2 linked regions of the Lonchura striata genome follow. The protein of the gene in region 1 binds, or shares a complex with, the protein of each later gene. Links are inferred from orthologs where the notes say so. Each region holds a gene or a part of one and is shown on either strand. Other genes may lie near its edges. The genes, in order: KIF13B and ADAP1.

What was found.
Region 2: the proteins of KIF13B (region 1) and ADAP1 are in contact, whole or in part, in a crystal structure (PDB 3MDB), measured with the Homo sapiens proteins. The link is inferred for Lonchura striata from reciprocal best matches to the Homo sapiens genes KIF13B and ADAP1. Residues at the interface, in NP_056069.2 of Homo sapiens: Val451, Asn452, Leu453, Asn454, Ala455, Asp456, Pro457, Leu463, Arg512, Phe514, Asn516, Gly517, Arg531, Leu533, Asn536, Asn537, Phe539; in NP_006860.2 of Homo sapiens: Trp137, Asn143, Gly144, Gln145, Phe146, Leu147, Pro186, Ala187, Lys188, Ile189, Gly190, His191, Pro192, His193, Tyr211, Glu213.

What each region holds. Positions count from the first base shown.
Region 1 is NC_134605.1:111,665,190-111,676,320, reverse strand, and holds the start of KIF13B (kinesin-like protein KIF13B), read right to left. Parts: upstream 4,258-11,131; 5' UTR 4,206-4,257; coding exon 4,151-4,205; intron 1-4,150. UniProt on the Homo sapiens protein: Involved in reorganization of the cortical cytoskeleton. Regulates axon formation by promoting the formation of extra axons. May be functionally important for the intracellular trafficking of MAGUKs and associated protein complexes.
Region 2 is NC_134618.1:12,422,769-12,433,807, forward strand, and holds the start of ADAP1 (arf-GAP with dual PH domain-containing protein 1), read right to left. Parts: upstream 4,996-11,039; 5' UTR 4,911-4,995; coding exon 4,826-4,910; intron 3,194-4,825; exon of another isoform or gene 2,748-3,193; intron 1-2,747. UniProt on the Homo sapiens protein: GTPase-activating protein for the ADP ribosylation factor family. Binds phosphatidylinositol 3,4,5-trisphosphate (PtdInsP3) and inositol 1,3,4,5-tetrakisphosphate (InsP4). Regulates the incorporation of CD63 and CD9 into multivesicular bodies.

The sequences.
Region 1 (11,131 bases):
GCTGGATGTCCGGGAGTCTCTGGCTGTGGGGAGGAGTAAGGCTGCAGAAGCCCTTAAAATACAATTGCCTCACAAGATGAAACATTAACTCTGCATCTTTTACCCATGTGCCGCCTTATCTCAAGGTTAATCCTGCTTGTAGCCCAAACAGTTTTATAGCTTATCAACCATCACCAGGAAATATTCCAAACTCCAGGCAGTCGTGCTTTACAAGGATAATGGTGAAGAAAAGCCTTGTGGTTTGCACATTGCCATCACGATACAACAGGTGCCACTTCACGCCCTCTAATACTGTAATTAATCTTATAAACCTGCTTGCACAAACTTCAGTTTATAGATAAGTTGTCTCTGTAGTAATTTCCATGGCAAAACAAACAAACAAGAGCACAGGAACAACCCCCACTTCCTCACCTCAAACCCCAAAAACGTTTCGAGTAGCTGGAAATGAAACCTCCTACAAGAAGAATAGAAGGACATAAAATTACCACCTGACACAGCGATCAGAAGCTTGTACAGATACAGAAGCAAATTCCTTCCTCACATGCACTGGAAACAGAATCTTCAGCATAAAAGCATGAGAAGATCCCTGTTTCAACACTGACAGTCTGGATAAATATACATATCAACACAACAGATACCTGAATGTGTACTTACAGGCAACCCAGGTATTTAAACTGGAGCTGCAGGTCTTACACTACAATCCTAGTACAGTTTAACATGGCAGCATTGCCAGAATACAGGCAGTAGCTTTCCTGCCTTTCTTGTTCAAAAAGTATTGACCCAAGGGAGATGTAGCAGTCTGGACTGGCTTAAGTGTCAAGCAATATCCTTGAGCACAAGTCATGTTCTTTTAAAACAGAACAACTTTTGTCAGCATTAATTAACACGACACTGAACTGATTCAAAAACACAAGGAAACACAGTGACTTAATATACTTATGTACAGCCTGTACCCAAACATCACCTGAAAACAAAGCATTCAGTCATAAAATTCTTAATTAAAAAGCCTTCAGCTGTCATTTGTTTTGCTTCATGGTATGGCCTGAGATTTGCATTTACCTGAAATATGATGAATATCTGCTAAAAGAAGTCAAACATGACACTTGCAAAAGGAAATCCACTGCAAATCTTAAATAAAACACCAAAAGAACTTCCTGATTGTTATCAAACCCTCATCTGAATAACGCAGTGCACTAGGAAATACTTTAGTGAATTACAGAGCCAAGAAAATAAAAGACCAGGAGCCTTATCTAACAAAGCAGTACTGAATTATTTAATTCATAAAAGCCTGTTAATCGAGATCCCAGTTTGCAAAGTAGAAGGGATGTAAAAAAAGACGCCTCAGTTGCCACCCAGGAGAGCCTCCAGCTTCAGACGTGGCACTGCGAACGTGTGGACACAGCAGCAATTTTATAAAAGCAAAGCTTCAGCACAGGCTTGGTAGGACTGAGGTCTCATTTGAAGCAAGATACAAAATGAAGTAGCCTGGATGCAGAAAAAGTCCAAACCCAAGTACAATTAGAAACACTTCCTCTCACTAAAAATTAGTGCTATAAACTGAATTTATGGATTACCACTCTGCATGAGAATGAAGCGAGACCCTCAATCCAAACACCCTGAAATGTGAGTGCTATAAATAACCAATTATTTGATACACAAATCCCTTCCACATGCAGGCAAGGAATCCATTATACTTTTATGAGCTGTAAAAACTCCTAACAGTTAAGCACACCACTTTTATTAACCTAATAAACCCTTGCCTTAAGAAATTAATAACTCGAACACCAAAGACAACCACCACCACCACAAGTAAACACCGAGAATATTTCAAAGCTTAACTTTCCACAGTCTCAGCCATCTGACAGGTTTGTAACGTTAAGCCCTTCGGTGCAGAGGGAAGGAAAGAACATTACTCGTGATCCTGAAGAAAACAAATACTTGCTTCACGTCCAAAGTCCCAGAGCTCCATACAAATAGTGCTCAGAACAAAATGTGTATGGAAGAGCTTCCAGGAAAGCTGTCTCTTGCCTCAAAACTTAATTAAGAAAAAGCAAGGCCCCAGAAATCTTACAAATGGATGAATCTTCAGAAAATCAGTTGCAAAAATGCTTAAATTTAACTTTAAATAGGTAAGAAAAACTGTAGCCTTCATACCACTGTCTGTTTCTACAAATTCAAGGTGCATCAGAAATACCATAGGGAGGATCAGTTGTTTAGACCCAGCCAAACATCTGGACTGTGACAAATAATCTGCTGGGGAAAAAAAAAAAAAAACACTTCCAGGACATTTTGGTTGAGGGAGAAAAATACATGAATCTTCTAGGATAGACTTAAATGGATTTAGGTATCACTCACAAGTAACAGGATATTTAATAGCAGCAAACTGCCAAGAGTGGGGGGTTCAGGCCCTCCTTCTCTCTGATGAGCATCAAGGACTGATACTCAAATGTCCCTCACTCCTGGATGAGCTTCCTGACAAGTGTCATCCTGTCCATAAGATTTTCAAGTTTATTCAGAATAAAAGACAAAGAGAATTTGGACTTGTGGGTCCCTTCCAACTCAGAATATTCCATGAAAGAGAGTACTAAGATACAATCTAGATTTCCTCTAGATTCCCAGCAGTTCCTGGCTGGAAAGGGACATATGGACAAACTCGGGGCTGAACAGACCGAGGATGCATGTGGGAGGAAGAGGTGCATTAGTCACCCCTGGAGATCCAAACTTCACTGATGGAGGCCCTGTGCGAGCTCATCTCATCTGACGTGCTCCAGAGGTCCCTTCCAGCCTGAATTATTGTCTAATCCCGGGGGTGAGGAACATCAAGCAGCCAGGAGACGTCTGGGGCAGAGCCAAGGAAATGACCTATGTCAGGAAAGGGACATGAGCAAGAGCCCAGATCTGTCACCAACACCCAGCACCACCTTCCAGCTCCTCTCCCAGCTCCCACCAACTCCTCCACGGCCACTCCATCTCCTCCAACCAATTCTCTCTAAGGATGGATTCTGCTCTGTTTTGAGAGCTGGCTCCTGAAGTATAACAAAATGAAGCTTTTGGTCAAAATATCCTCAGTTTCTCTAAGCCACCAGACTGTAAAGGCATCAATTCCATCTCTTGTGCTGGAAGTGGGATCCAGGAGCTCCTGTGAACTCAGTGAACATTCCCCTGCTGCCGTTTTACAGGCATAGAATCACTGCATTTAATGTTTTAACCCCTTTTCACTGAAAGGAATTAAAAAGGTATTATATGTCAGATGGTGTAGGCAATAAAGGGCTTTCCCTCTCCCTCATTTTTTTTTGCTTCAGCTACTAAACTGACTTCACTGGATTCCCCAAAAGGAATTATTGGCATACTCCTGTGAGAATGTGGGATAAAAAAAGCGCCATCCTACACTTTCTTGGATTTCTGCCTTCTTCACCTTCCCATTCCTTGGCTGAAGCTGCCTTTTCATACTTGCTTCCTCATCATCCAGAGCAAGTTTTTCTAATTAAGACAAGTAATAAACATTTAAACAGCTGCCCAGACCACGGTCTGATTACCATAACCCTTAGGCAAGTTTCGTCGAGGGGAAAGAAAAAAAAAAAAGCCAACAACAACCCAAAAAACCACAACAACAAAAATTCTCTTGTCAATTCTCGCTTCCTCTTCTGTCTTTTCTTGCTTGTTTTTTGTCCTTGTGTCGCTGTCATCTGGTTAACAGCGTCCCACTCAAGCCCCGAGGGTTGGAGAGCAGCGGGGTGAATTAGCACGGGACAAAATGCAGAAAAAAGAGGCATTTTCCCCCAAATCCGCAAAGCGGGAAGAAGGAAGCGCTGTCCCAGCAGGAACCGGCTGTAGAGCAGGTGCAGGAGGTGCGGAGAGAGCTTTTTTTCGCCCGGGGGAGCGGACGAGGCAAAATAAATCCATCAACCCAGGCAGGTTTGGGAAAAGGGATCTCGGGAGAGGGGGGCGAGCACGGCGCGGCCGCCCGCCTGTGCCCACCCGGGCCGTGTTTATTCCCGGTAAACACTGAAGCACACACGGACACGCACCCATTCACCCGCACCGGGACACACCTGTCCCGACCGACACCTGTCCCCAAGGACCGGCACCCCCGCGCCGCTCCCGGGAAGGACAGGGGAGAGGGATGCTGAGCAAGAACACGGAGTCTCACCTCGCCGGTTCATGGGGCGGACACGCACCGCCACCTTCACTTTGGAGTCCCCCATCCTGCCGCTCCAGCCTTCGCGGCTCCCCCGTCCCTGCCCGGCTTCCGTCTGCCGAGGGAGAGCCGGAGCGGGGAGGAGCGCCCGGGAGGGAGGTGCCGTGCCGGGCCAATGCCGGCCGGACTACAACTCCCAGCGAGCATCGCGCAGCGCCACGCCTCCTCAGCTCCCGGCGGGGTGCCGCGATGCGCGCTGGGAGGTGTAGTTTTTTCTCCCGCCTCCAGCTTGGTAATGGAGCAGGCTGGCTGAATCATGGAATTAATTAATGTGGGAAAGGCCTCTGCGATCATCCAGTTCAACCTGTGATCCATCACTGCCTTGTCACCAGACCAGAGCACTGAGTGCTATGTCCAGGTGCTCCTTGGACACCTGCAAGAATTGGGACTCCAAAAAAAGCCCCTTCCGATGTCTAAGCACAGAATCACAGAACTGGTCAATCTAAAAGTGACCATAGCGGGTCATCTGGTCCAACCCCTCTGCTCAGGCAGGGTCAACCCAGAGCACAGAGCACAGGATTGCATCCAGACAGTCCTGGAACACCTCCAGTGGGGGAAACTCCACACCCTTTCTGGTCAACCTGTTCCAGTGTTCGGTCACTGCACAGGAAAGAAGCTCTTCCTCATGTTCAGGTGGAACTTCCTGGGCACCAGATTTTCTGCTAAGAAATTCTTCCCAATGACCAACCTGGCACAGTTTGAGGCCATTCCCTCTCATCCTGTCCCTGTTCCCTGGGAGCAGAGCCTGACCCTGCCCCTGGCTGTCCCCTCCTGTCAGGGCTTGTGCAGAGCCACAAGGTCCCCCCTGAGCCTCCTTTTCTCCAGGCTGAGCCCCTTTCCAGCTCCCTCAGCCCCTCCTGGTGCTCCAGCCCCTTCCCCAGCTCCGTTCCCATCCCTGGACACGCTCCAGGCCCTCAATATCCATACTGAAGTGAGAGAGCCAGGCACTGAATGCTTGTATGTGGAGTCCTTCAGAATAGAGGGATTCGTCAGGGGGAGCAGCCAAAATGGATTTATAGACTGCAGGGAGCTCAGGATCACCCCAGGCCCTGCCACTCTACCCCGGGTGGCTGAAGGGAAGCCCATCACATCTCAGTTCCCTCCTTTTGGGGAAATACTGAGGTATTTCATGTTGAGCAGACAACGGCATTGCCTCTGGAACTTGCACACCTCACCTTGGAATTTCCTCTGTGTTCCACAGGGTTTCTGTCCATCAGAAATCACTTTATAAGTCACATCGGTTTAAGATCACAAAATCACAGAATGGTTTGTGTTGGAGGGGACATTAAAAGCTCATGTCGGTCCAAAGCAACCCCTTCCACTATTGCAGGTCGCCCCAAGACCCATCCTGGCCTTGGACACTTCCAGGGATCCAGGGGCAGCCACAGCTTCTCTGGGCAACCTCTGCCAGGGCCTCACCACCCTCACAGGCAGGAATTCCTTCCCAATACCCCATCTATCCCTGCCCTCTGTCAGTGTGCAGCCATTCCCTGTGTTCTGTCCTCCATCCCTTGTCCCAAGTCCCTCTCCAGCTCTCCTGGAGCCCCTTTAGGACATGGAAGGAGCTCTGAGATCTCCCTGGATCCTTCTCTTCTCCAGGTGAACACCCCCAGCCTGGCTCCAGAGCAGAGGAACTCCAGTCTTTAGAGCATTTCTGTGGCCTCCTCTGTTTTTACTCCATCAGCTCCACGTTTTTCCTGTGCCAAAGACCCCAGAGAACCATCATGAGCTACAACTCAAGGTAAGGACCATGGGTCAGGTCCTGTCTGGATCTGGTTTCACAAAGCAACCCCTGGTGGGTCCAGTATCACCGAAGGCAGCTTAGTAAAAACCTCAGCAGGAATAATCAGACACTGCCTGAACAATATCACAATTTATCCTCAATATTCCCCTCAACTGCTCAATCACATTGCAAAGACCAAGAACGAAACTAAAATGCAAAGATGCAAAAAAACCACCCCCAAACCTCATTTAAATGGTCATGGTTGAAAACCTTTGCAGCTGCTATTTTAGTTCAAAACAAAGATTCTCTCAATGTTGCTTTGAAAGGGCAGATTTCAGCAAGGACAGAAACCCCCTCCCCCCTAAAATTCAGTTGTAATTCTTTGGCTTTCCAACATTGAATGAGGCTTTGTGACAGAAAGAAATAAATAACACATGTCCAAGTGGGTTTGAGATAAAATTTTGGCAGGTGGCACTTTTTGCCCAGAAGAACTGCACTCAACATTTATCATTTCATGTCTGACCTGAAGAATATCTTGTCAAAGCAGAGAGAAACCGAATATTAAGTTGGCATTGAAATCACACTGGGATTAATGTCCATGTTCCTAACAGCATCCCAAGCAAGCATGAGGGCTGGGCAGATGTCTTGAAGCTACAAAAAAAATATTAAATAACAGGTCAGAGCAAGCAGAATTGTGAAAGCTTGAAGCAAAAAGTGAGTTTTTATCTGCAGCAGGAGAAAACAGCAGAACCTGCAGCCCCTCAGTTCCCTGTGAGAGGGGACTTCCCACTCTGAGCCTGCACAGTTGGTCCCTGCACTTGTGAACTTGAGGATCCAATTACAGGATGAAACCCAGCTTTGAACTTCTTGTGGTATTTTCCAGCTGGGGCCTCGACAAAACCGCACCAAGGTTTTCTGAAAGCGAGCACTTTGGCCGTGGAGATAAATGTCATGCTGACTTTTCATCTGAGTGGAGGGTGGGTGGTTTTTACCTCGGGCTGAGTCACCTGGAATTTGATTTAGAGGAATGGGGTGAAGCCCGTGGCCAGGTGTGAACACAGCTGGGGATGGCAGGTGCCACCCAAAGCCAGCCCTTCCTCCTGCACCTCCTCTCCTGTATCAGTCACCACTGGCTTTGGTAAAATTAAACAGCGAATCTTACAGGGGAAGGATCACACACCACTTTTGAATTTGATCCTAAGATGTGGTAAGCACATTTCTCTCCCTCTCAGGATTTTTTATAGAGGTGTACAGAAAGAAATGAAAGAGAAAAAGAATTTTATTTCTGCTCCTTGTTTTTCCCTATGTGGAATGTGTTTGGAGAATTGTTTGAACCTGATGGCCAATCCAATCCACCTATGGCTGGACTCAAGAGAGAGAGGGTCACAAGTTGTAGGAAAGTTAGAAATAAAGTCAGAGAAAGTAATATATAGTTTTAGTATCCTCCTTTTATATAGTATATTAATGTATTTTAACATAGTTATAATAAAGAAATCATTCAGCCTTCTGAATTGAGTCAGACATCCTCATTTCTTCCCATTGGGTTCGCCTGCATTTACAATACAAAGAGGTCCCTGGTGGGTTTTAAGTCTTGCACGCTTTACTCCAGTTTTCTACTCGGAATGAAAAATCCGTTTTAAAAATTGAAAAATCACTTTTTTAGCCTTCCTTCACTTCTAATAGCCAAGGAGAAACGATATTTACACATAACCATTGCTACTCCTGCCAAGTTCTTCAAAGGCAGAGACACCCTTAGAGCGCAGAGACCCTTCTCAATTTTGGTGCTGTGGATGGGCGCTTTGGGAGGATTATTTATTATTTATTATTATTTATTGCTCGGGAGCAATAAATTCTCATGGCTCTCTGCAAGTCCTGCCTCTGGACTTTCCCTTTATGCTCCAGCCTGCTTCCTGCGCTGAATTCCAGCGGTGCAGCTCCTCTCGCACTGGCAGCGAGCTCTGCCTCAGTGTCATTCCCCCACTGTGAATTCCTCCACAAGCCCTTTCCCTGGCTCGGGGTCCCACAATCTGTGGGAAGCATCTCCCTGGAGGGGCACAGCTCGGAGGGAGGATATTGTTTCCATTCACAGCTCTGGAAGATGCTAATTATGCTGGGAGGAAAGAGGGGGGGGTGGCAGCTTTCACTTGGGAGGGACAGGCCGGGCAAATAGTTTGTGAAACGCCAACTTAACCCCATCTTGTAGGGAATTGTCTGCAGCTCTTTTCCCCCTTCCTAGTTACTGTAATGAGGGGCTGACTTCCCAGATTAGCTCTGCCTATTTAAATGCTAATTTAATTAACAAAACATCCTTGGGGGGGGGGAGGCACTGCTTGTCCCTCCCATTCATTTATCGAGTTTCTGAATGCGACGCTGTTGTCATCAGGTTGAGGAGCCACAGTGATGGCTGTGCCCACCTGGTTGAGGCAGGGCTTGAACAGGGATGTGGACGAGAAAAAACAGGATCTTAATATATATATATATATATATATTTTTTTTTTTTTTTTTTTGACAATTAAATTTGATTACTTTTACTTAGTAATACACGGTTACGCGTGTCCTGCCCGGGGCGTGCGTTATCACCAGCCCGCCAGGGAAGAAGAAATTTTTGCTTTTATCTTGATGAAGGTAGGCATGTTTCAGCTCTCAGATCATCTAGAAAGAATTTTATCTCCGAGCAAGCCAGAAAGCGTGACAGTCCTTTGGATGTCCGTTCATCCAAACCACAGCAAGCAACTAAATCGAGTGCGTTTTAAATCCGCTTTTCCATTTGTTCGGCTGCGCAACGAAAGAGAAGCATCGATTATGGATTTGCTGTAGACCTTCTTTGTGCCCAGAAATCATAAAGGAATTAGAAATTTGGAGGCACAAGCGAAAGCAGAAGACATGTTATGAATTTATTTCTACTTTAATAGAGAAAGAAAGTGTCAAGGAAAACAAATATTAAGAACAGGTGAAAAAAAAATCTGGATAAAACAGCAAATTGATTTTTCCAAATAATTTGTGTCAAAATTCTGCTTGTTATAAAAATTTATTTATTTGTTTCCAGAGGAATTGCTGAAGTTTCTGATGCAAGACGTTGTGCAAATGTGCAGGTTCAGGAGATTCACCCCAATTTTTGCAAAGCAGTTTCTGTGCTTTATTATTTTCATTGGAACTTGGTAAATTTGAAGGATTGATCGTTTCCAAGGCCATTCATAACTCTGAATTACACTGATCCTGAGATGGATTTTTAAAGGTATTTGTGTGTGACCTTCTGCCCTCACTGTGAAAAGAATCCCCAGATAAATAAACGAATCTTTGACGTCTTCTTGCAGCAAAATATGAGTGAAGCCCCACCAAACAAACTTTTTATAGACATCTCCCTCTTTTTAAAAGTCATTCCAATGTTCAAAGTCTTGGCCATAAATTTTATGGCATTATAGGATGTGATGCTTATTCTTATGTTACCCAGAGGGAATCCCAGGCTCTGATATCCCCATAAATCCCATCCATGGCCTGTTTATGGAAGGGAAATTCATTATAGCTGTGCTTTAATTGTGGAATTTCAACACAATTTTTACCTCTGGTGAGGTATTATCAGCAATTTATGTGCTAGAATGAGGCCCCTAATGAGAATTTTCTCCTCTTGTTGACTAAAAATTTTTATTTTCCCTATCAGCTGCTCAGTTTGTTGATCCAGCCTGTGCCAAAGCAACTGGTTTTACCTGTCACGTTGCATTTTATTGGAGTGGTTCCTTCCTCAGACAAAGATCCCACATTGGATTTCATCTGTGTGAGAAGAGAATAGATTTTCTGTCCTAGGAGGAAACAGAGAGTCTCGAGAGAGCTCGAAAAATACCAAGTTTAGCAGGAGAGCAGGTTTAGCTGTTGCAAGACAGGTTTGTTATCAGAGAAAAGCAAACTCCCCTCAACACTAGGCAGTCACCAATACTCTGAAGAATGCATATTTAGGGGGTTGTGTAATGTTTGTAGCCTTTATCTCCTCCAAATTCTGAGTCACAGGATCCGTGAGACCTGAACTGCCTTGACTTCAAAGGCTGGAAGGTGTTACAGCTTCATCTGCTCTATCACATTCTTGCTGCTGAGGAGACACCTGCAGAAACCTCATTTTTGGGCTTTTTCACCCATCCCTACTTTCTCTCCTCATCTCTTTCCCTCGGACACCTGATCTAAACCCAGATCTAAATTTTCCAGCTGCATTTACACAAATAATGATGAAAATGATTTAATGCGTTTTGCAAATAGCATCGCAGGCCAAAGTGCCAGCTCCAGATCTCCCCAGATCTAATGAGTCGGTAATTCGATTTTGGAACCGTGAGTTTGTGATAAGTGAGGGTGATGCTGTCACCAGTGGGAGCCGCAGGATTTTATTGATGAAAAAGGATTTTATCAGCCACCAAAAAAAATCCTTTCTGACTCCCAGGCAAGAGTGACACCCGGTGGCGGCGGAGTAAAATAAAATCAGCTCTGATTGCAATGTTCCCTTTTCCTCTCTTCGTTTAGTGGTTTTTTTTTTTTTTTTTTTTTTTTTTTGTTTTGTTTTTTTTTTTTGGTGTGTGTGTGGGTTTTTTTGGTTGTTTTTGTTGTTTTTTTGTTTGTTTGTATTTTTTGGGTTTTTTTTTTCCTGCTGATTTTAAAGATAGAGCTGGCACAGGGATGTACTCCTGCTCTTGTAGAATGGGCATCCATCACCTGTGGGCACAGATTCCCTGGGATCTGGATTCCCTGGGATCTGGATTCCCTGGGATCTGCATCCCCTGGGATCTGGATTCCCTGGGATCTGGATTCCCTGGGATCTGCATCCCCTGAGATCTGCATTCCCTGGGATCTGCATCACCTGGGATCTGGATTCCCTGGGATCTGGATTCTCTGGGATCTGCATTCCCTGGGATCTGAATTCCCTGGGATCTGCATTCCCTGAGATCTGCATCCCCTGGGATCTGGATTCCCTGGGATCTGCATCCCCTGAGATCTGCATCCCCTGGGATCTGCATCACCTGGGATCTGGATTCCCTGGGATCTGGATTCTCTGGGATCTGCATTCCCTGGGATCTGCATTCCCTGGGATCTGCATCCCCTGGGATCTGGATCCCCGGGGATCTGCATTCCCTGAGATCTGCATTCCCTGGGATCTGCATCCCCTGAGATCTGCATTCCCTGGGATCTGCATCCCCTGGGATCTGGATTCCCTGGGATCTGCATCCCCTGGG
Region 2 (11,039 bases), on another chromosome or scaffold:
ACAGGCTCAAAGTAGGAAAGAGCAAGAACTCAAAGAGTCACAAAATTTGGATGCTCCTGCTCCACCTTTTACCTTAAACAACATTTCCCACTACTTCTAGCACGATACTGATGATCAAGGCAAACATCTGAGGCCAATGCACAGCACCACATCCTCAGGACATCCTTCAGCACAGAATGATGGCCTGACCCTGCTGCGCCCCTGCCACTGCAGCTGGCTGGGAGCTGGTCCCTGCTTGGGATGCAGATTCCATGGATTCTCCTGAACCCCCTCCTGTTTAAGCTGATAGAGAGACCTCTCCAGGCAAACAAAACCTTTTTTCCCCTGCACTAGAAATGCGACTCGCTGATGCAGGGTAGAACCACGGGGATTTCAGTGCAGTCCACACAAGCACAAAGCCTTTCCTGCTTGCTGCTCATTTCCCCATGCCCGAGACAGAGAACTGGTGTTCAGCACTGAAGTTCTGCAGCTATTTACTCTGGGGAAGGATTAGGAGGCTGACAAACAGACCCTGGTCACGCATGTTGAAAAATAACAATAAAAGAGTTAACACTGAAGTCAAACCACCTCCCACCAACTCTCCTCTCTAAGTAGGAAAATTTTTCAGTGAAGGCACTAAACTTGCCAAGGTCTTTTAATTCAGCTGGCAGGTCCCAGCAGCCCCCTCTCGCTGTCTGCAGCCCACGATTGTGCTGCAGCCCAGGCACCAGGACAGGACAAAAACCACCATCACATTAAACCTCCTTTGTTTCAAAAAGCCCTTTTTCCTGCAGAAAGTGGCATTGAGCTAAACACAACTGCTGTGGGATTTTTTTTTCCTTCTTACTCCTCTGCTTACAGCTGGGGAGAAAGGCTGGCCAATTCTCAGGGACACCAAATAATAATAATTTTTAAAAAATCAGTATTTAAGTGAGAGGGCAATGGAGGTACAGAAACAAGTTTCCACTTGGAGCTGGAAGAAAATCTCGTTTCACACCATTAGAGCAGCAGAGCTCCATGAGCCTCCAGCATGAGCCTTCTGCTCTTCCTCCATCCTTCACCCCTCCCTGGGCTTCAGGCACAGAGGCCAGTGTTAGCCAGGATCCATGTCTCAGTAATCCATCCCAAATAACAAAGATAAAATGATAACAAGCCATGTAAACTGCTGCTGGAGGGTTTAAACTGCAGGATTGCTTTGATGGGATTTCCATTTCTGTCTTCAGAGCCTCTCTGTCCTCCTACAATGTAAAATAATTCTCACTCCATGGAAACACGAGCCTAAGTCATAGAAAAATAAAGAGAGAAATACTCAAGGTCTTGTTATGCCCTGAGATAACCATCCGTCTTATGATGTGAGGAAAGATTGCCTGAGACAAAGAATCATTTAGAAAAAAGAAAAGGCTGAACTGCCACATTAGTCTTGGAGAAAAAAAGATTATTCTAATGCACAGAGAGCCATTACACACCAGCAATTCAGTAACATTGCTCAGTTTGCACTTAAGACTGCATTTACCATGCTGTCTTCACTGAGACAGCACAGCTTTAAACCCACAAAAAACACAACAGCCAGGACACAGAAGTGTGCAATGACAGAGGACCCAAAGCCCCATCTAATGACTTTATTAGTGGCTCCTGCCCCAGAATTCAGTCCCAAGGATGTAACCAAGGCAGTCTCATTATGCATTACAGATCGATGACATTTTTTGCAACTGAAACACCTTTTATTCAAAACAACCTCTCATTGCAATTTAAGGTTTTATAAAAACGCAATTAATAAAAACCTAAAAAAATAATTTCCAAACACCAAACACAAAAAAGTGAAAACTGTAATCTCTCAGTGATTTTACACTCTGATTTTCACTTTCTACTTTAGCATCCTTTCTGCATTCTCAGCTGCCATGGCCAGACTGTTCTCTCCACCTGAGACATCCCCAAAAATCTGTTTGCAAAAGAGATTTTTTTTTTTGCCAGACATACGCACAGGTCCTGGGGAAGAGCCAGACCTGACCTTGCTGAGCACCACATTTAGTACCCCATTCCACCCAGGTGCAAGTGGGCACATCCTGTGCACACACCAGGGAAACACACCTTGAACAGCAGAGCCTTACTTGGGCACTTCAATAATCCTCAGTCATGATTCAGTGGCAAATTCTGGCCCAGCCCCAGGCAAGCAGCAGGTTGTGCCCAGATGTCCCCAAGGAGATGGGCTGATCCTGCAGGGGATGAAGTTATTTACCCTACCCAGGAGGAAAAGCTTCCCCAGATGCCCCATGTCTGTCCCCAGCTTTGACTTTGTATGGTCACAGCTTAGCCCAGGGATGCCAAGCTGAGAGCTCCATTGCACCAGGGGTTTGTGACAGGACACAGAATACCTGCGACAAGCTGTGGGGCTCTGGCTGCTGAGCCTCTCCCAAATGCCAAAAAAGTAACAAAAGAAAATAACCCTTTTTACAGCAGGAAGGAAAAAAACAAACAAACTTTCACCGTCTGGTTGATTTCTCAAACAAATATTTCCAAAAGAAAAAGAAAACCCAGCTGGCTTCCAAATACACAAATTAAAGTGACAGAATTTTCCCCTGTTACATTTCCAACCCATCCTGTTCTTTGTTATGAGCATCCCTGAGCTAAATGGCTCCCTCTTATCTTGGATCCTGTATTAACAGAGTATTTCAGGGAAAGGCACTCACCCACCTGAGAAACAGCAATAACAAATCCGAATCTTTGGTTTCCCCCCAGCTGTACCAGATCAGCCCTACCATGATACTCACATGTGGTAAAGCACAAGTCTGCCCTGCTTCCCTCATCTTCTGTTCATTCCACAGCCTCCCTCTTCCTTTTCACTTCATTTTCTCTGCTTTGGTACTTTTCCAGTGTCAGCTGCCCACCCGGTTCCAGCTGTCACCTTTATCTTTTTGTGCATCCCACTTCTCAGCAAAGAACATTCTTGCACCCCTTTCTGGAGGCTCTCTGGACACTTATCCTGCATCTGCTGCATTACCTCATCCCCAAAAAGAGCTGGCCTGCCACACCTGCCCAGACTGAATAACTGAATTCAGGCCGAGTATTTTCTATACTACCTACAGACACAAGTGATTATCTTATGTTAAGTAGCCCAGGGCATCTCAAGTTTATTGTCACTCCCAGGCAGACGAGCACCATGAATAGCTCTACTTTGCCAAAGAAACTGAAGCAAAGTAGTCACTAAAGGAATTGGGTTGAACAGGAGGGTGGTCCTAAGGAAATAATGCCATGAGGGTTCAGAAGAGGTAGAATGATATTAATATAGCAGATCTTGACTTACAAAAGACACTGGCCCAAATTCTCCTCTCTGACTTTCAGATTCACTAAGACATCTCTGTATGCAAATGTCACCAAAACCAAAGTATGGTTTTGTTGTTTTACAAGCCCTTTCTGTGCCTTTAACAACAAGCTTCTTATCCTGATATGAGCTATTTTATTGACCTACAGCTCCATCTCCACCCTGGTGACGCTGAGAAGCTTCCCATTTTGCCTGGGGGCTTTATGTTTTATACCCACAGGGTGAGGGAGAATCACCCTGCTGATCTGAAGGGCCCAGGTTTGTAAAGTTTTCTCCAGGAAGGAACAATTTAGGCGGACACCTACACGGGGAGCCCAAGCTCAGCGAGGTGGGCTGGTACAGTCAGCACCAGCCGGCAGCAGATGGGTGGGAGCCGGCAGAGCAGCGCGGCGCTGCAAAGCCTCTCACGCTGTGCCCGAAGTTCTTTGTCCTTTCCAGCTGGGTACCGGAGGACACAACGCATCTGAAAGTGAACTGCAGTGTCCTGGGATGCAGATCAGGCATATAAAACCACCGGGAATGGTATGAGCTGGATAGCGGTATCCAATAGATCTTGACATCCTGAACAAATCAATAGCTGGGAAAATAGGGCTCAGCTGAAGTGCTGGGTTATTCTTTAACCTATAAAATGACAGAGGCTGAGAAGGACATCCTTTCTACATCCCTCCTCAGAGCCAGTCTGCTCGAGCTAATATAAATGTAGGTTTTTCTGTATGGTGATTTTTTTTTTCTTTTTAAAAACAGGAAAGTTACTTGCTCTGCAATTTTTCTAAGGCTGTTCTCAAAGACAGATCCCACCGCCCCATGCAGACTCTGCTCAGCAACAGCATCACGGCCCGACTCCAAAAATTCACCATCCAAAAGGCGAATAAGACATTCCCAGCCCAGATTTTCTCCCCACCGCACACGAAAACGTCTACAGGCATTCCAGCCCCGCTCCCCGCGCAGGCACCCATCGATGGCAGCTGGGCAAAGGTTGTTGGCCACGATGTCCGCAGCGCTGCCGCCGCTCGTCCCCATGTGTTTGCTCAGTGACAGGGCAGGAGCAGCCTCGGGGACACGGAGGACGCCCCGCAGGCAGGGCGCCCCGGCAGAGCCCCCCGCCCGGCGACCGGCCCCGGCTGCGCTGCAGCCCGCGGGGACCCGCCGGGATGACATCAGCGCTCACGGCCGGGCGAGGAGCCGGGCCGGGCCGGGGGAAACTGGGGAAACCCGGGCTGGGGCTGGTCCGCGGGGACCGCGGCAGCGCAGCGCATCCCTCCAGCAGCCCCGGAGCATCCCCGCTGCATCCCCCGGGCGGGGAGGGGGTCGGGCACACCCTCGGCGGGGCGCGACCCCCGGCGGTCCGGAGCGGGCAGAGCCCCGCGCCCGGTCTCTGCCGAGCCGAGCCGAGCGGTACCGTGCGGTGCTGCACCGTACCGTACCGTGCCGTGCCGTGCCGTGCCGTGCCGTGCCGTGCCGTGCCGTGCCGTGCGGACAGGTGCAGGTGCAGCCGCCGCCCGCGCCCCCCGCCTCCCCTGCCCTTACCCGGCGCGGCGCAGTCGGCGCACGCCGCGTTCCCCGGCCGCTGGAGCAGCTCCACCAGCGCCTTCCTGCTCCTCTCCTTCGCCATGGGGGCGGCTGCCGGGGCTGCGCTCGGTCCGCGGCGCTACGGCAGCCTCATGGCGCGGGCGGGGGGCGCTGGCGAGGCGGGCGGCGCCCGGGCGGCTCCATTCGGCCCCGCTCGCCCCGCGCACGCCGAGCGCGCCTCCGGCCGCCGGGGCGGTGCTGCCCTGCCCGCCCCGGTGCTGCCCTGCCCTGCCCGGTGCTGCCCTGCCCGCCCCGGTGCTGCCCTGCCCGCCCCGGTGCCTCCCGCCGGTGCCGCCGGTTCCGCGCTCAGCGGCGCTGCCGGAGCCCCGCGCCCTCCAGCGGCCACCCGGGCGGCGCTGCCCCCGAGGGGTCGCCGACCTTCGGGGCGTCCCGTCCTTCGGGGATACCTCTCCTGCTTTAACTCCTGCCCGCGGAAGGGATGCTGTCGCCGGTGGATCTTCTGTGCGAGGCGGCGGCTGGCAGCGACCCCAAGCTCTCCCCGGCCGGGGCCCTGCCACACAAGCAGCTTGGCAGGTTCGTGAGCAGCACGTTCGGGATGCCCCTCGAACATCAGCAGCTTTTGGGGCTCAGCTTTGGGGATCACCTTTTCTGAAGGTCTCATCAGTAGCCCCGCGCACTCCAAAACCGCTCCTCCTTCACTGATGTCCTTGCACATCACCACCAGCTGCCATGTCTGTGTCCTGGCAGGACTGTGCTCCAATGTCTTCCCACATTTTTCACACCTCCATGGTGTCAGGGGGGAAAACATCCCTGTGCCATCATGCCTGTCCATCTCATGCCATCTATGGGACAAGACTTGTTTTGCCAGTCAAAGACTAATGTGTCACTTGGGCAGGATGTGAGGATCTTCTGGCCAAGGAAAGGTTCGGAGCTGTGCCTCCTTAACCCCTGCTGAAACCTTTTTATCATGTATGGGTCACCTGTGATGCTGCAATGTCCTGTTTTTGGTTCACAAATCTCTGCTTACAAAAACAATCTTGGTTTTGCAAAGCAGGTCCCCATTTAAATCATCCAACTCTGTTTTCTCCAACAAAGCAGAGCCCTCCTGCAAGCTCAGCTCATGCTATCCATGCTGCCCATGAGATTCGGGGTGTGCACAAACATCTGCAGGAGGAGGCTGCCAGTAGCTCCTGGAAAACTTCCACAACCAAACCACCATCTTGATCCTGCAAACATGAGCATGCAAGCAGGTTCCTGAGAACACTTTGTAAGAGAAAATAGACCCTTAAATACAGGCAGAGTCATGGCCTGGTACATTTATAATGCTCCCTTTGCCTGGAATACATTTTCCTAAATAACCTTTACATTTGTGCTGCCAGACAGGTGACTGTATCCAGGTTTATTTCTGTTTTTAACTGGATGCTGCACTGTTCCTTGCTGACTCAACCCAGTGTCACACATCGTGCTGGGCTTGCTGGTTTTACACACATAGCTTGATAACGTCTGGAAACTCAGTCCCATCCTAACCAAAGGCATAATCCTCCAAACAGACCTTTTGTGGGGAAACAGCTGCTGCATCCAGACCCTCACCTTCTTCAGGCTCTGAGTCACTGACACTTACCTGGAGCACTGACTTCTAACACCCTCAGAGTGAAACCAGCTCAGCAGAGTACCTTAACCCCCCACACCTGTGCTGTGTTCAAGCTTGACAGTGTCAATGCCACAGGCTCAGAGCTTTACCTAAGCCCACGTTAGGCCAGGTTTTCATTTGCACTTTGGCTTTTCCAGAAGAGGCATTTGCTGAATGCTCCATGCAATAGCCAGGATGCTGCACATCGTCATGGGCTTACCACGGGCCGGGGCTGGGAGCAGGGAGAGGGTTTGCTTTGAAAGTCTCTGTTTAGCTTTCCATTAAGACTTATTGATTCTCTTAATTTTTTGTTCCCCTGGTTGCTAGGCGATTCCTCTCTCTCCTCCGTGTGCTGGAAGCCAGGGCTGCAGACAGAAATTTATATCTTGTAATAAAATCAAATAAAACAGAGCCTGTTGTCAATGATGAGAGGGGAGAGTTTCATAAAGGACAGGCAGAGCAGGGCCAGCAAGGGTCGATCAGCAGCATCCTCAGCATTTAAATCTCATCACAATTACTCCAGACTCCACACGGGGAAACAAACAGCCCCTGTGGGTGGAGGGAATGTGGAGAGTCAGGGAGAAAAGTTAGAACTAAATAAGCCAGAAATGAAGATAAACTTTTGTTCAATGGAAAATCAAAGGCTTGAGCCGACCTCACATATACAAGGGTATCTCTGTAAATTTACTCCTGGTTTACCTGAGGTTAAGAGGTTGGGTATTGCCCCAGTGTTGATCCAGGGCAGGCACCGAGGTTCTCCTGATGGACATTGACTCCTGAGGAGTGTGATTCCTGGCGTAGACCAGGGACTGCATCTGAATTTATATCTCACACGGGGTAAAGAGCAAAGGTTGCTCCTGCAGGGCTAGAGAAGGCTGATGGGCATCGCTGCTCAGGCTTGTCCATGTCACACTGTTCCCTCCTCTGAGCTTGCCCACACTTTTTCCGTGGGTAGCACCTTTCAGGGGGTGCCTAAATGAATTTGCTCCTACTTCTTGTGAAATCTCTGACCAAACTCTCTGGAGATAGGTTGTCGTTGCTGTCAGTACATCACCCTCATTCAGATGCTTCCTGTCTCTCCACTGCTAAGTGACTTGGAGGTCTGGCATAAATTCATATCCATATGTATGTAAATCCTTACATATTTATGTGTAAGATGTGTTTGTTTGTAAACACACACACTTTCAACTCAGTCTTTTCCAAGTCACAAGGTTGTTGCCTTAGAAACGGACATTATTAATGCCATCTCCTGAGGTGCTAAGCAAGGGCAGCCCCTGGAAATGCCAGATACTGAGGTCAGAGCAAAGAACACCCAGAAATTCCTGGAAACCTTTCCATCATCTTTGTGGTGACGCCCTGAAAATGCACAGACATCATTATACGTTCTCCTTGCCCTTCCTTATCAGCTCCTTTCACCCCAGACTGCCTTTTGTTAGGAAAGGGCTGTTTTCTCTGGGGTTTAGTTAATTTCGAAGCCCTAGCCCTGAAATGGATAAATCAATGTCACAACCATGCAAGTAAAAGGGTGTTAAACACAACCCTTGATGTGACCCGGGAGCGCATTCACAGCACAACGTGGGGAAGCATTACAAATTCCTGCGTGAACAGCAAACCTGAACAGAAATATCAATAATTCATGCCACTGCATTCAAGCAAAACTCTGGAGTAGCAGATACACCAGGCAGGATTCCATAGGCTTCCTCAGCACCACAGGGGAGGCAGCTCTTGCAGCTGGAGGTTTGTGTGAACAAGCTGCAGTACTGGCACCAGCACCTATGTTAAATAAGCACCAGCTCATTTCCGTTGCAGTATTGGTTTCCTGTTCAAAAGAAAAAGAAAAAAGGAAGAAACCAATCCTAGAGTTTTTTTCTTGTAAAAAATAAAGAGTTTTCTGGGTTATCCAGTTAAATCAAGAGTGGGTATAGCTGGGAGGGAGGAATGCCACAGAGCAGAGAGCTCAGAGCAGGGCAGTTTAAAAATGCTTGAACCAAAAATCCAATACTGATGCCAACTTTCTCTTATTTTGAGCAAATTGCTGTAGGGAGCCTGTGAGATTTTTTTGTGTGTGTGGCACAGGGAAAAGCCCACTCACAGCATCTGTGTGGTTAGGATGTGTGGATTGAGTTGAAGAGGATAATGCAGGAGAAATTATGTGAGGGTATAAAAAGAACTGTGATGTCCTGTGTCTGCAGAGCTGCTCTGCACCTGCAGCAGCCCTCAAAGAAGAAAAAGTGTTGTGCAGGTTTAAAAGTGTCTCACTGCAGAGTGATCTGTAGATCAGGGTTTCTTTCCATTTGCATAGTAGTTAATTCTATTGCAGCCCAGTGTCACCAGTGTGAAAAAAGGGGAATCCTTTGCTCCCATGATTGAACAGTCATGCAGTTACCACCATGCAAACCAGACCACAGAGATCCTTTGTAGGGAAGCAGAACAGGGGAGAATAAGGGCAAAGGAGGGGGGGGGGGGGGGGGGTGTTCAGACCAAAATCTCCTTTTTTAGATTTCTGCAACACCCCAGAGCTGATCACTGCTCTCTCACAGCCATGCTGCCACAAAACTTCTCCAACCACAAGCCTGTCATGTGCTCAGGACACTCTTTCAGTTTCTTTTCTGCCTGCCTCTGGCCAGCATTGGGCTGGTTTGGGGGTCAGTACGTGGTTACAGGGGCTGCTTAGTTGCTCAGACAGCGTGGTTGGGAGCCAAAATATGTCTGAGAGAGAGGGGGGGGGTTAATTGATGGCTTGAAGATGGTGAATATTTGTATGTCTGCTCCATGGCACCTGGGGAAATCTCAGTGTAAGAAAAACAGCTCTGCAATAGTCCTGTTGTTGCACCAAACCCATTTCCTATGATGTGAAATATGACATGGAGGGGGCAGCTGAGGGAATTGGCTCCATGGCAGCTGCAGCTGATTTCTACTGTCCAATGACTGGCTCTTTTCTGCGCACAGAGGAGATGAAATTAGTCCAAGGAAGTCAACAGCTCACCTATGTCTGTGGCAGACCACTGCTTTCAGCATTATTCCTGATTTACCCTAATTGAGAGGCTGAGGCCTGTGGAATCTCTGCATGGAGAAAGCCAACCTGTGTGTGATGACACTCATACATCAGGGACTCAGCTCCTCCAAAAAATAGTCAAAGTGATTATTCAGAGCAGGACGTCATCAGTTCAGTGTGAGTCAGAGACACAGCAGGACGGGCTCGGTGTGCAAACAGCAGGGCAGCACTTATCGTGGAGATTGCCTTTGCTCTATTTCAATAAGCTAATCTCTTCCTGGCTCAGATGGCTCATCCTTCCAGGAACAGCTTGGAGACATTCAAGCAGGAGACAGAGCTGTGTGATGTCTTGAAGTGACCCACCCACCTGCTGCCAGCCCTGGGTGCTGGAGCCAGGGGCTGCCCAGCCAGGGACACAGAGCAGAGAGGATGGTGGTGCTACAGGCAGGGCCACAGGACAGGGGGCAAGCCCAGCACTTCACTTCTGGTCTGGAAGTCTCTGCAGCAGAGCCTGAGTTCCTCAGAAGAAAAAAGATAAACCATTTCAAAAGGCCGTAGAAGAAGGGAGAAATCAGTGCAGTTATGGGCCCCAGTGGTCAGTCTCGTGTCACAGACTGCTGGTCCAGCTCAGGCAGCTGAGAGCACATCCCCTTCTGTAGCACTGCTCAGCTGTGATTTGAATGAAGTAGTAGATGGAAACAAAACTGTGGTTTTTCTCTAGAAAGAGATTAAAAATGATAGCCTGAAGAGAGCTGCCAAACAGCTGGAGATGGTAATTCAGCCTCCCCCCAATTAACTTTGTCCACACAAAGTTGAGGGCCATGTCCCACCCTTCCTCTGGCTGCTGATGGGATCATTTGGATGTCACTGTATGCCTCCTAAAAGCTCCCACAACGTTGAGATACAGAGCATGCTGCTCATTTATCTGTTTATTTCAGTATGCTTTGCCAAAGAAAAATCAGCAAAGAATTAATTAACAGTAATTATTTCTAGCAACAACAGAGCAGCCCTGCTCCAGAAGCCATGAAAACAACATCATGAGACCCCTGTGGCCAAAAAGCCTTTCTAAACAGGTGCAAAAATAAACAGTTTTATAGCAGGGTATAAAAAGAGCCCAAGCCAGGTTGGGGAATGGCAGGAGAGCAGCCATTTCAATGGCTGAGTCGGAGCAGTCACCCAGGTGACTTTTGTGAAGGAGCTTTAATAAACAAACCAGAGCAGAAGCACCAACCTGAGTGAAAGAACCAGCAGGACCAGGTTATTGCTGCTATAGAGGGTTTACTACACCCATCACCCTGTGTTATTAGTGCTGCTGAAGTGATTTACTGTCCCAGTCAGTCCAGCCGATTAGAGCTGTGATCTAAAGTACAGCCAGCTCCAGTTTCAGTGATAAACATCACCCCCCTGCCTATTACTTGCTAAAATAAGCTGAAATAAAGCCATCAATCCAGACATCTCTGTGCTCAAATGAGTCCTTCTTAGCTGGCACCACCACACCTGCAAGTCTCCTGCCATGACTGCTTAAAAGGGTGGAAGTAGATGTTCCAGACACGCTCTCATTTTTCACCTACCTGGTTCTTTTTCAA